Linked DNA regions of Drosophila melanogaster. The protein of the gene in region 1 interacts with the protein of each later gene in a pairwise test. Each region holds a gene or a part of one and is shown on either strand. Other genes may lie near its edges.

What was found. Proteins that work in one complex are often made in the same cells at the same time.
Region 2: the proteins of Tsp26A (region 1) and CG32726 interact in a two-hybrid assay, tested with the Drosophila melanogaster proteins (one large-scale study listed by BioGRID).

The regions. Positions count from the first base shown.
Region 1 is NT_033779.5:5,998,554-6,004,245, reverse strand, and holds Tsp26A (tetraspanin 26A), read right to left. Parts: upstream 4,019-5,692; 5' UTR 3,935-4,018; coding exon 3,647-3,934; intron 3,583-3,646; coding exon 3,502-3,582; intron 3,442-3,501; coding exon 3,163-3,441; intron 3,088-3,162; coding exon 2,977-3,087; intron 2,770-2,976; coding exon 2,653-2,769; intron 2,578-2,652; coding exon 2,509-2,577; 3' UTR 508-2,508; downstream 1-507. Other genes in the region: Gal (beta galactosidase), read left to right, coding at 1-484.
Region 2 is NC_004354.4:7,424,673-7,427,368, reverse strand, and holds CG32726 (uncharacterized protein), read left to right. Parts: upstream 1-1,625; 5' UTR 1,626-1,642; coding exon 1,643-1,690; intron 1,691-1,756; coding exon 1,757-1,891; 3' UTR 1,892-2,149; downstream 2,150-2,696. Other genes in the region: CG15036 (uncharacterized protein), read left to right, coding at 2,557-2,696.

The DNA of each region.
Region 1 (5,692 bases):
GAAGGGCATCTTTGGTGAGGTGAGCCTGCAGCTGCACAATGGTGGTTACCTCCCGCTGGAGAACTGGCGGAGCACCGCTTTCCCGCTGGAGCAATCCGCCGTCGAGCTCTGGCGGCGCGAACACACTGACGAGAAGGCCTTGGACCCGTTGCTGGCAAGGCAACGCATTCTTCGAAACGGACCAATACTCTACACTGGCAGCCTGACAGTGACGGAGGTGGGCGACACCTATTTGAACATGGCCGGTTGGGGCAAGGGCGTGGCCTATGTGAACGGTTTTAATTTGGGACGCTACTGGCCTGTGGCAGGTCCACAGGTCACCTTATATGTGCCCAACGAGATACTGAAAGTGGGTGAAAACTCTCTGGTGATCCTTGAGTACCAACGAGCGAATAAGACAGCAACTGGCGAGGATCTACCTGCAGTGCAGTTCGACGCAGTTGCTCAGCTGGACGGAGAGTCTGGTGATGTTCCACTTAAATGATGAGCCTTGTATGCATTGTTATTCCGTATTTCTTTATTAGAAGCGTTTTTGATTGATACTTGTGTCAACAACCTTCGTTAAGCTTTATTATAAATTTTCTAACTCTTATAAATCTATGTTTATATACGCCTTAATAAATGCTGTTGATCTGTGCTTGACTGACTCTTATCGATCTCCAGCTTATTTTCAATTGACTTTTTTTCGTTACCATTATAGCAGAATGTTAACTTTTTTGCTTTTACACATTATTAATCGTACTATGTTCGTGATTTTATTGGCTTAGTAATTTAACATTGCACATGAAAATTTGGCCAGATGTTTATATGGAAAACTCTAAAGAGGATATACACCCAATAGCTGCCATAAAGTTAACTTTTTACATATCCAAAAAGTGTATTAGCTGCCACATCTGGCCAATTGCTCAGTTGCAAGTGTACATACAAGATTTTTGGGCATATTTTGTATCATTAATAACATTCTATGTACTTATGGTTTTTAAGGTAAAAGCATTTTATTATAACTATCGTCTTTTTGAGCATTGCAGCAATGTAGGCGTTGAGTTTCGACTTCTATTCACGTTTAATATTGAACAGCAATAAAAGTATGAACTGTTTTATAAATACAAGTTTGCAGACTGAGTTCTTAAAGTTTAAGACAGTTTAGGAAAACGTTTGGATACTGTTAGTTGAATTAGTTATCGTTTTAAACTGACTAAGATTGGCAAATTCTTTAGTTATCCAATTGTCAGTTAATTGGACCTTTCAGCTATTTGGTGAACACAAAAACGTAATACTCTGTTCGGGGCAGTGTTGTTTATAATCTCCATTGCTTTTGATTAGAATGTTTGCGAAATAGTATAAATAATACTAACATTGGAGTTTTCCAATACTACGTCTCTTTGCAATATAGATTTAAAAAGGTACAAGAGCGAATCAATGTTTTCCTTGTGAATCATGTTACAAGTGCGATATCAAGCAGTTAAACCAGCAATTGGCTTACTTTTTACTCAATTATAATTGCGTGTTGCAAAAATATATTCATATGCTGTAAAGCTTACCATTTGTTGTGCATAAATTTAGTTCAAGCTCATTAATATTAATATGCAAGTGGTATTGCTTTCTTCCATTTTACGATCTGTGATATTGACATTTGTCACAGAACTGTGTTTTTTGTTTCTCGCTTATAAAAATAACTATTATTTTGAAGACAAATATGTGTTGTGCTAGGTTGTATTTGTTCAGTTTAGGAATGAGATTCGTGGTGTGATCATTCGATTTGTTGGAAATTGTTGCATTTAATTTCGATTTCTCTATACTTTTCTTTAAAAATATATCACAGCTGCATTTCAAGATAAATTTTTCATTTTTCCTATGACTCCTTTTTCACTTTCTTTGTAAAATGTGTAGAAAATCTATTTAAAATGTTTTGCTCTTCTTTTTCTTATTTGTTCTTGGGCTAAAGGGAAGCCGACGTAAAAACAGCAACAAATTTGGCAACCTAGTTAATATTAGTCAATGTCCACGAAGACGGAATGCGTTTGCTTTAGTTAGACACATAGCGTACTCTTGAGTATAAATGGGGGTATGGGTTAAACTGGGTCGATTTTATGGACGCAAAAAATAGATAAATCGTGGGAGAGAAACCTAATCAATGAACATTTTATGCCAATATCAATATACAACGTGTGTCCCGAAAATCAGGGTTTACCATAGGCATTTGTGTTTTCTGATCAAAAGCGAAGGGTGAATCGTAATTTCCGGAACATAGTTACTTTGGCAATAGCATTAGGAATTGATCATTGACTAGATTCTATCAACGATTATCGTGCATCCAAATCGATTCACCCTAGTATGGGTTTACAAGGAATTTATAGTATAGTTAACTAACCGGAGCGTAGATGAGTAGATACAGATTCTTATTTTGAAGTTGGTGGATGCTCCATGTGGCTTACCTCGAAGTTTCCCAAATCCTTCGCCACCTTGGGTGTCCTTCTAAATGGCCGTGGGAGCAGACAGAGCCATTTGTCAGTGCCACTTTGACTTTTGAGTGTAGATATCGGCACGCAGGTTCTGAGCAAAGCAAATGCCCAAGATCTACAAAAAGTGTATCGTTACAAGAAGAATCTATCTATTGTCATAGTGAGAAAAATAATAAAATCAAACAGAAACCTGAAAAAACATCACAACTATAACAGTTGCGGAAATAATAATCAAGTTGTGCTCCATCCATTCTTCGCCTGCTTGAACACAGCCCTTTTCGTAGATTATTTTGGACAACTCCATGCCCTGGTAAGAAATTAAAAAAATAAAATAAATATAAAGTCTGTGGGAAATTATAAAACAAAAAGATGTAACTACTACGAGTAAAAACCATATTTTTAAAAAAAATGGGACCACCTTAAAAACGATTCTCTCATCTGAACTACACTAAACTTAAAATTTTCAAAGATTCAAAAAGAAATATACAACGACGACTATAGAAATGTTTTGCACCTGCAGGACGAGCAGAGCCACGCAGCCAATCGCCACACTAATCAGATGGGCCTCCAGCCAATCCTCGCCAGCGCGCAAGCAGCCACGCTCATGTATATTCCTATCCACCGGCTGCATGCGTACGATTCGTGGGTGAATTTCAATATGCATTTCGGAAAGACGGGGGAAAACAGCTAGCGGACTTACATATCCCTCCTTGCGTACATCGTAGCCGCATTGCTTGTTCTTGATCACCTCCTGCGGACGTCTGCGGCAGCAGGAGAATGGCACTCCGCACGCCTCCCTGCTGCCAATAGCGATAGACGAGCAATTGAAGTAGTTGTTGCTGTCCCAGTCCTTGGGACCATCAATGCCGCAACACTGCAACCAATCCTCCTGGATCCAATCAATGAGATTCTGCTGGTCTGCGTCCTCGCGATAGTGGCGAATGAAGGCCTTGAGTCCCTCGGTGGCCTGGTCTTTGATCTGGAAAAGGCAAACCTTAGTAATGGCTGGCTAGAATAGTGGCCTTCAAATGGAACTCACCCAGCCCTTGTCCTTGAGCACGAAGGCCACGGCACAGAAGCCGATCTCTGCGATAAGCAAGACACTCAAGAAGATGGCGTACTGCAAGCGGAAAAATAAGGATTAACTAGGTCCAGAGGGGATCCACTAACAATGTGGTACCCACCGCCCCCAGGAGGCAGGTGTTCTCGCGCAAGGCGCCCACGCTGCCCATGAAGCCCAGTAGGAAGGTGACGCCTCCCAGGATGATCAGGACGAAGGCCGGGTCCAGGGCGATGAAGTGCAGCCGCGCAATGTTGCGGAACATGCCCTTCTCGCTCCAGGCCCAGATGCCAACGGAGAGGACCAGCAGGGCCGAGAGCCACAGGATCACATTGCTGGCGAACAAAAGGTACTTCAGACAGCAGCTGATTTCACTGGTCTCGCGGCGGAACTTGCGCACAGCAGCTGGCATTGCTCCAATTTTAACAATAATAAATATGGCCAAAAGGAAACAAAAACGTATGAAATTCTGCTCGCCAGTGTGACCGTGACTGCACTTTTTTTATCACGCAGTGCGACGGCTCCAAATACGTTGCAAAGAATACCGTTTCCCAAGAAAACCGCCATTTTGTTCAATCTTACGAACTTTAAAACTTGGATGTTTGTTTTTTTTTTATTGATCTTGCATAAACAATGTATTTTACAGAAACCAGTTTGCGTATTTATTTCATTTTCTGCTGATTTGTTGAGTTGAGCAACAACAATTTCATAGGCATTACCGTTAACTAAATACTTATGTCTACTGGTTATTTTAAATATATTATACAAATTCAAATTCTTAAAGCCAAGGCTTAAATTAACACACAGTATTCTAAAAACAATAAAAGAGCTCACTTACTTATATTAATAACTTAGAATATAATTCACTCTTGTAGAATGCCAAACTTTCTTTTTTTAGCTTACCACTGTATTGAAACACATTTCATAAAATTAATTAAAAAAGCGTACTTAGGAAACCTTGCGTATATGCTCGATGGATCCTATGGATGTTTCAAGTCCTGTCCCTGAACCGGCATAGTGTTAAACGCGGCGCCGGCTAGACTGAGTAACGCCTATGACCGAACTGATTTTGAATCTAATACAGAAACGAAACAATAAACGGGGGGTCGGCGATAAGACGAGATCCGATTCGTCGACCTCCGCCGATAAGAAACTGTGTTTGATTTGAAGGCCAGTGCTGCACAACGCGGACGGTGGCTGGTATTTTCCCGAACTTTTGTGGGGCAGATCGACGTTTCCGGCACTTCGACGACGGGTCACACTGGACACATGTAGCAGGAAAAAACGCAGACATCGGAGAAAGAAATCAGAAAAGTAAATTCGCATTAAAGCCACCTCGCCAGTGCCGTGCTCGGTGGTTTTATGGAACACTCATTTCGATCACATACCGAGCGTGCGCGTCTTCCAACGACTTCCTATGACGACAGTGAGTTTTTGCCCAGTGTAGGGTGCCCAGTTCCCAGTGCCCGAACCCAGTGCGATTGTGTGCGTGCCAGTGTGTGAGTTTAGGGGCACTTCTGATGGCTGAAAACGTTTAATTAGCAGCGAAAAGCGAACAAACTAGCAAAACGCAGACGCCCACCTGGCCAAGTCGGTGCATATAGATCAGGAAAAGTGCGGATTGCAGCCTCTGCGTTGGCCAACAGCGAAAACAACCCCCCGCACTAGTCGTGGAAAATGTTTGTATGTGTGTTCCCTCTGCTGGCAGCGCAATCGGGATTCCGAAAATCCGTAATAATTGTGAAAATGCGGCCAGAAGACAACGCCAGGTCGCGGCTAGGTTAGGAACCACGTCGCGGATGAACGGATTACGGTGGAAAACCGCGGACGGAAAATCGCGCACCAATTGCACACGCCAGCAGAGCAGCGACAGCGCTGCAAAGTGCGTTGCGTCGCTGCCCGGTCGCCATCATAGCGAAAAATATTGTGATCCCACGCCTGGAAAGCCAATATATGCCACTGAGTTTAGTGACTTTCAAGTATATAGTGAATATATAGCTCCAGTCGAGCTGTTCGCGGGGAGTTACTATTCGAAAAGTACAGTGCTGCAGTCACCTTCCAAAAAAAAAAATCAGTTCAGCTTTTCTGTTTCCGCTCACCGCCACTCCCCCCACCGTTGGAAATGTGCAATATGGCAGGGCAAATGCGTAAATTTTGCGCTCCTGCTGGA
Region 2 (2,696 bases), on another chromosome or scaffold:
TGGCGGATTGGGGATTGGGGATTGGGGTTTTGGGGTTCTGTTTTAAGGGGGTGCCACAATTGCAGCAACTTATCTCTCGCCTGCCCATATAAATAATGACAAGCACGACGACAAATAATAACCAAACGCACACAGGACATGCCGCAGGACAATAGGCCTGGGAGAAAAATAGGGTCGAGGTAAGGACGACTACTGTCTGTGAGTGAGTGTGCATAATATGAAAATTTATGTGCGGAAAGGATTGAAAATAAATTTATGAATTATATTGGTTAGAAAATTGCATCTACTCAAGGATATCCTTAATGTCTCCAGGATATGCATGTGTTCAGCTAGGCTTGCTCATTGTTTTTGGGGCTATCTGTTACATTCAACAATGTCCTGATTCAATTTATTGTTTGTTTGATTTGCATTCTGACCGGAGACACTCGCCAGATATGTGCCTGTATATCCCTCTATAGTCGTATATATAAAGTCCTGCGTCCTTTGTGCCATTTGATTAGCGATAACAGCTGCAATTTGCGCCGAAAGTGCTTTTCGAATTATCATTGACAAAAATAAGAATCCTAAAAAGTAACACACGCAGCCAAGGCTTATCGTAAAAATCCAATAAAAGTGGGCCACAGAATTCGGTTTGGGGACTTTTATGATTTTTTCCCCTGTTCCTGCTGACATTTGGTAGTTTATGACTGGATTTGGTTTCGATGCAGAGAGAACAAAAAATAATTCAGTTCAACACGTTTTAACTTTATGCGTACATAATAATAATAATAATAACATTAGTATCTGCTATTTGTATATCTTTTAAGCATTTTAAAAGGAATTTTAGTGTTTTGATATAAGATTTTATATTTGAGATTGCTTGCTTGCTATGTAGCAATGTTTTTTTTTTCAGTGTTGCAAATATGTCAAAGTTCAGTAACCGTATTCGATGGGGGATTTTGAGTAAGGTAAAAGGAACTGGTCATAAAACTTTCCCGACACGTTTATGCCTATCTGGGTTGTGGATCTGAAATCTCAATGCCAATCCAAATATATATCCACATTCTGTGGCAGTTCATCAAATGCTCGACGACAAGTCACGAGCGCTGCAATCTGGAGTGGCTTATGGCATTAGTTATTAGTTGGGGGGTGGTTGGTATATCTGCTTATACAGGAGGATACATTTCATTAGTCAGACATCACAGGCGCATTTTACAGAGACGTGTTTCACTAAGAGACCATGTGAATAAAATGAAAACGGTGTTTGGTACTTTTGGTAAAAAAAAAAAACAATCACCAAAGGCATAAATATTACATATCTCTAGTTTCTCGAAACTTTTAAAATCGCTCAATAAAATTCTATTCGCATTGGAATAAACATTGTTACCTCGACCTAGACCCAAAGAATTAGGTTCATTTGAACTGCAACCGATTCACAGTTGTATGATCGAAAATGAGAGAGCTCCAGTGCACATGATAATTGCAGACGAGTTGAAATAATGTTATTACAAAATCAACACCTCAATTAGATATTTAATGTGACACACCAATTACGCAAGCAATTACAAATATACTCTTAATATATTTGTTTGAAATCGGTTAAACAATTGGTGGCCCATAAAAGCGAGGTGTTCGAGGCCAATGTCAATCATTCCACATCAAGATGCGTTTCTGTCTACTGTTCCTTTTGGCCATGAGCTGCTGTCTGCTGGTAACTTAAATGCTCGATAACATTACAGATTGCGCATATTCGAAATATTCGTGCCCTTTATTCTAGCAATTCTCCGTGGCTGGAGTGAATTTGGTGCGCGGACTGGAGGCTGCCGGTCATCATCGCAACTTCACCGGCTCACCACCACCGCGTGGTGCTCCTCCACCACCTCGGACCACCACCGCCAGTTCTTCGGGTTAAATAAATTGAAAGCAAAACACGAGAAAACTGGCAAAATTTCCATTGACGGACGATTTAAATGAAACCTACCATTATGTAATCCTATAGCTTCAAAAAATATAGAAAAACCATTCCAGCAAAAAAAAAAAAAAAATAGTTCCAGTGTTTTAAACCACAGTTTTAGTAAATATTCGTTTTTATTTATTCGTAATTGGCAATATATCTATCTTATCTCGTTTTAAGATACTGAAATGAATTCATTGAAATATAAAATTCTACATTTTGCACAATTTGCATCATTTATTATCTAAAATCTCTTCGCTTTTGTGAGACTTTCATTATTGATATGTAACGTCTGAAACCATTTGGCCGGACTTCCCGCGCGGCGATTAAAATCGGCATTAATTTGACAAAAGTTCAACGACAAAAAAAAAATGAAATTAAAGCTATCTGATGTTGGAGAGAAAATACAGTATACATATATAGGCTGGGCCATACCCTACATGGCCCATGGTCAGAGGTGAGGCTGCAATTTGTGATCGTATTTGTTGATACAACATATCCAATTGTCCGTCGTCATTGTGGCCAATTGAATGGAGCTGCAAGAAAAGCGAACTATAAAAATGAATGGAAGCGCCGTTGAACACAATCAGTTGTTTGGGGGAATTCTCGGGCCGAGGATCACGATGAGGCAATCCATAAAGCACATATTCGCACTGTTGGTTGCCCTGGAGTGTTTAAGCCTTGGCGACACGGCGCCCATCGGTGAGCATCCGGATCATGCCGGATGTATACGGATAACGATCATCAAGCGACCATTGGCCAC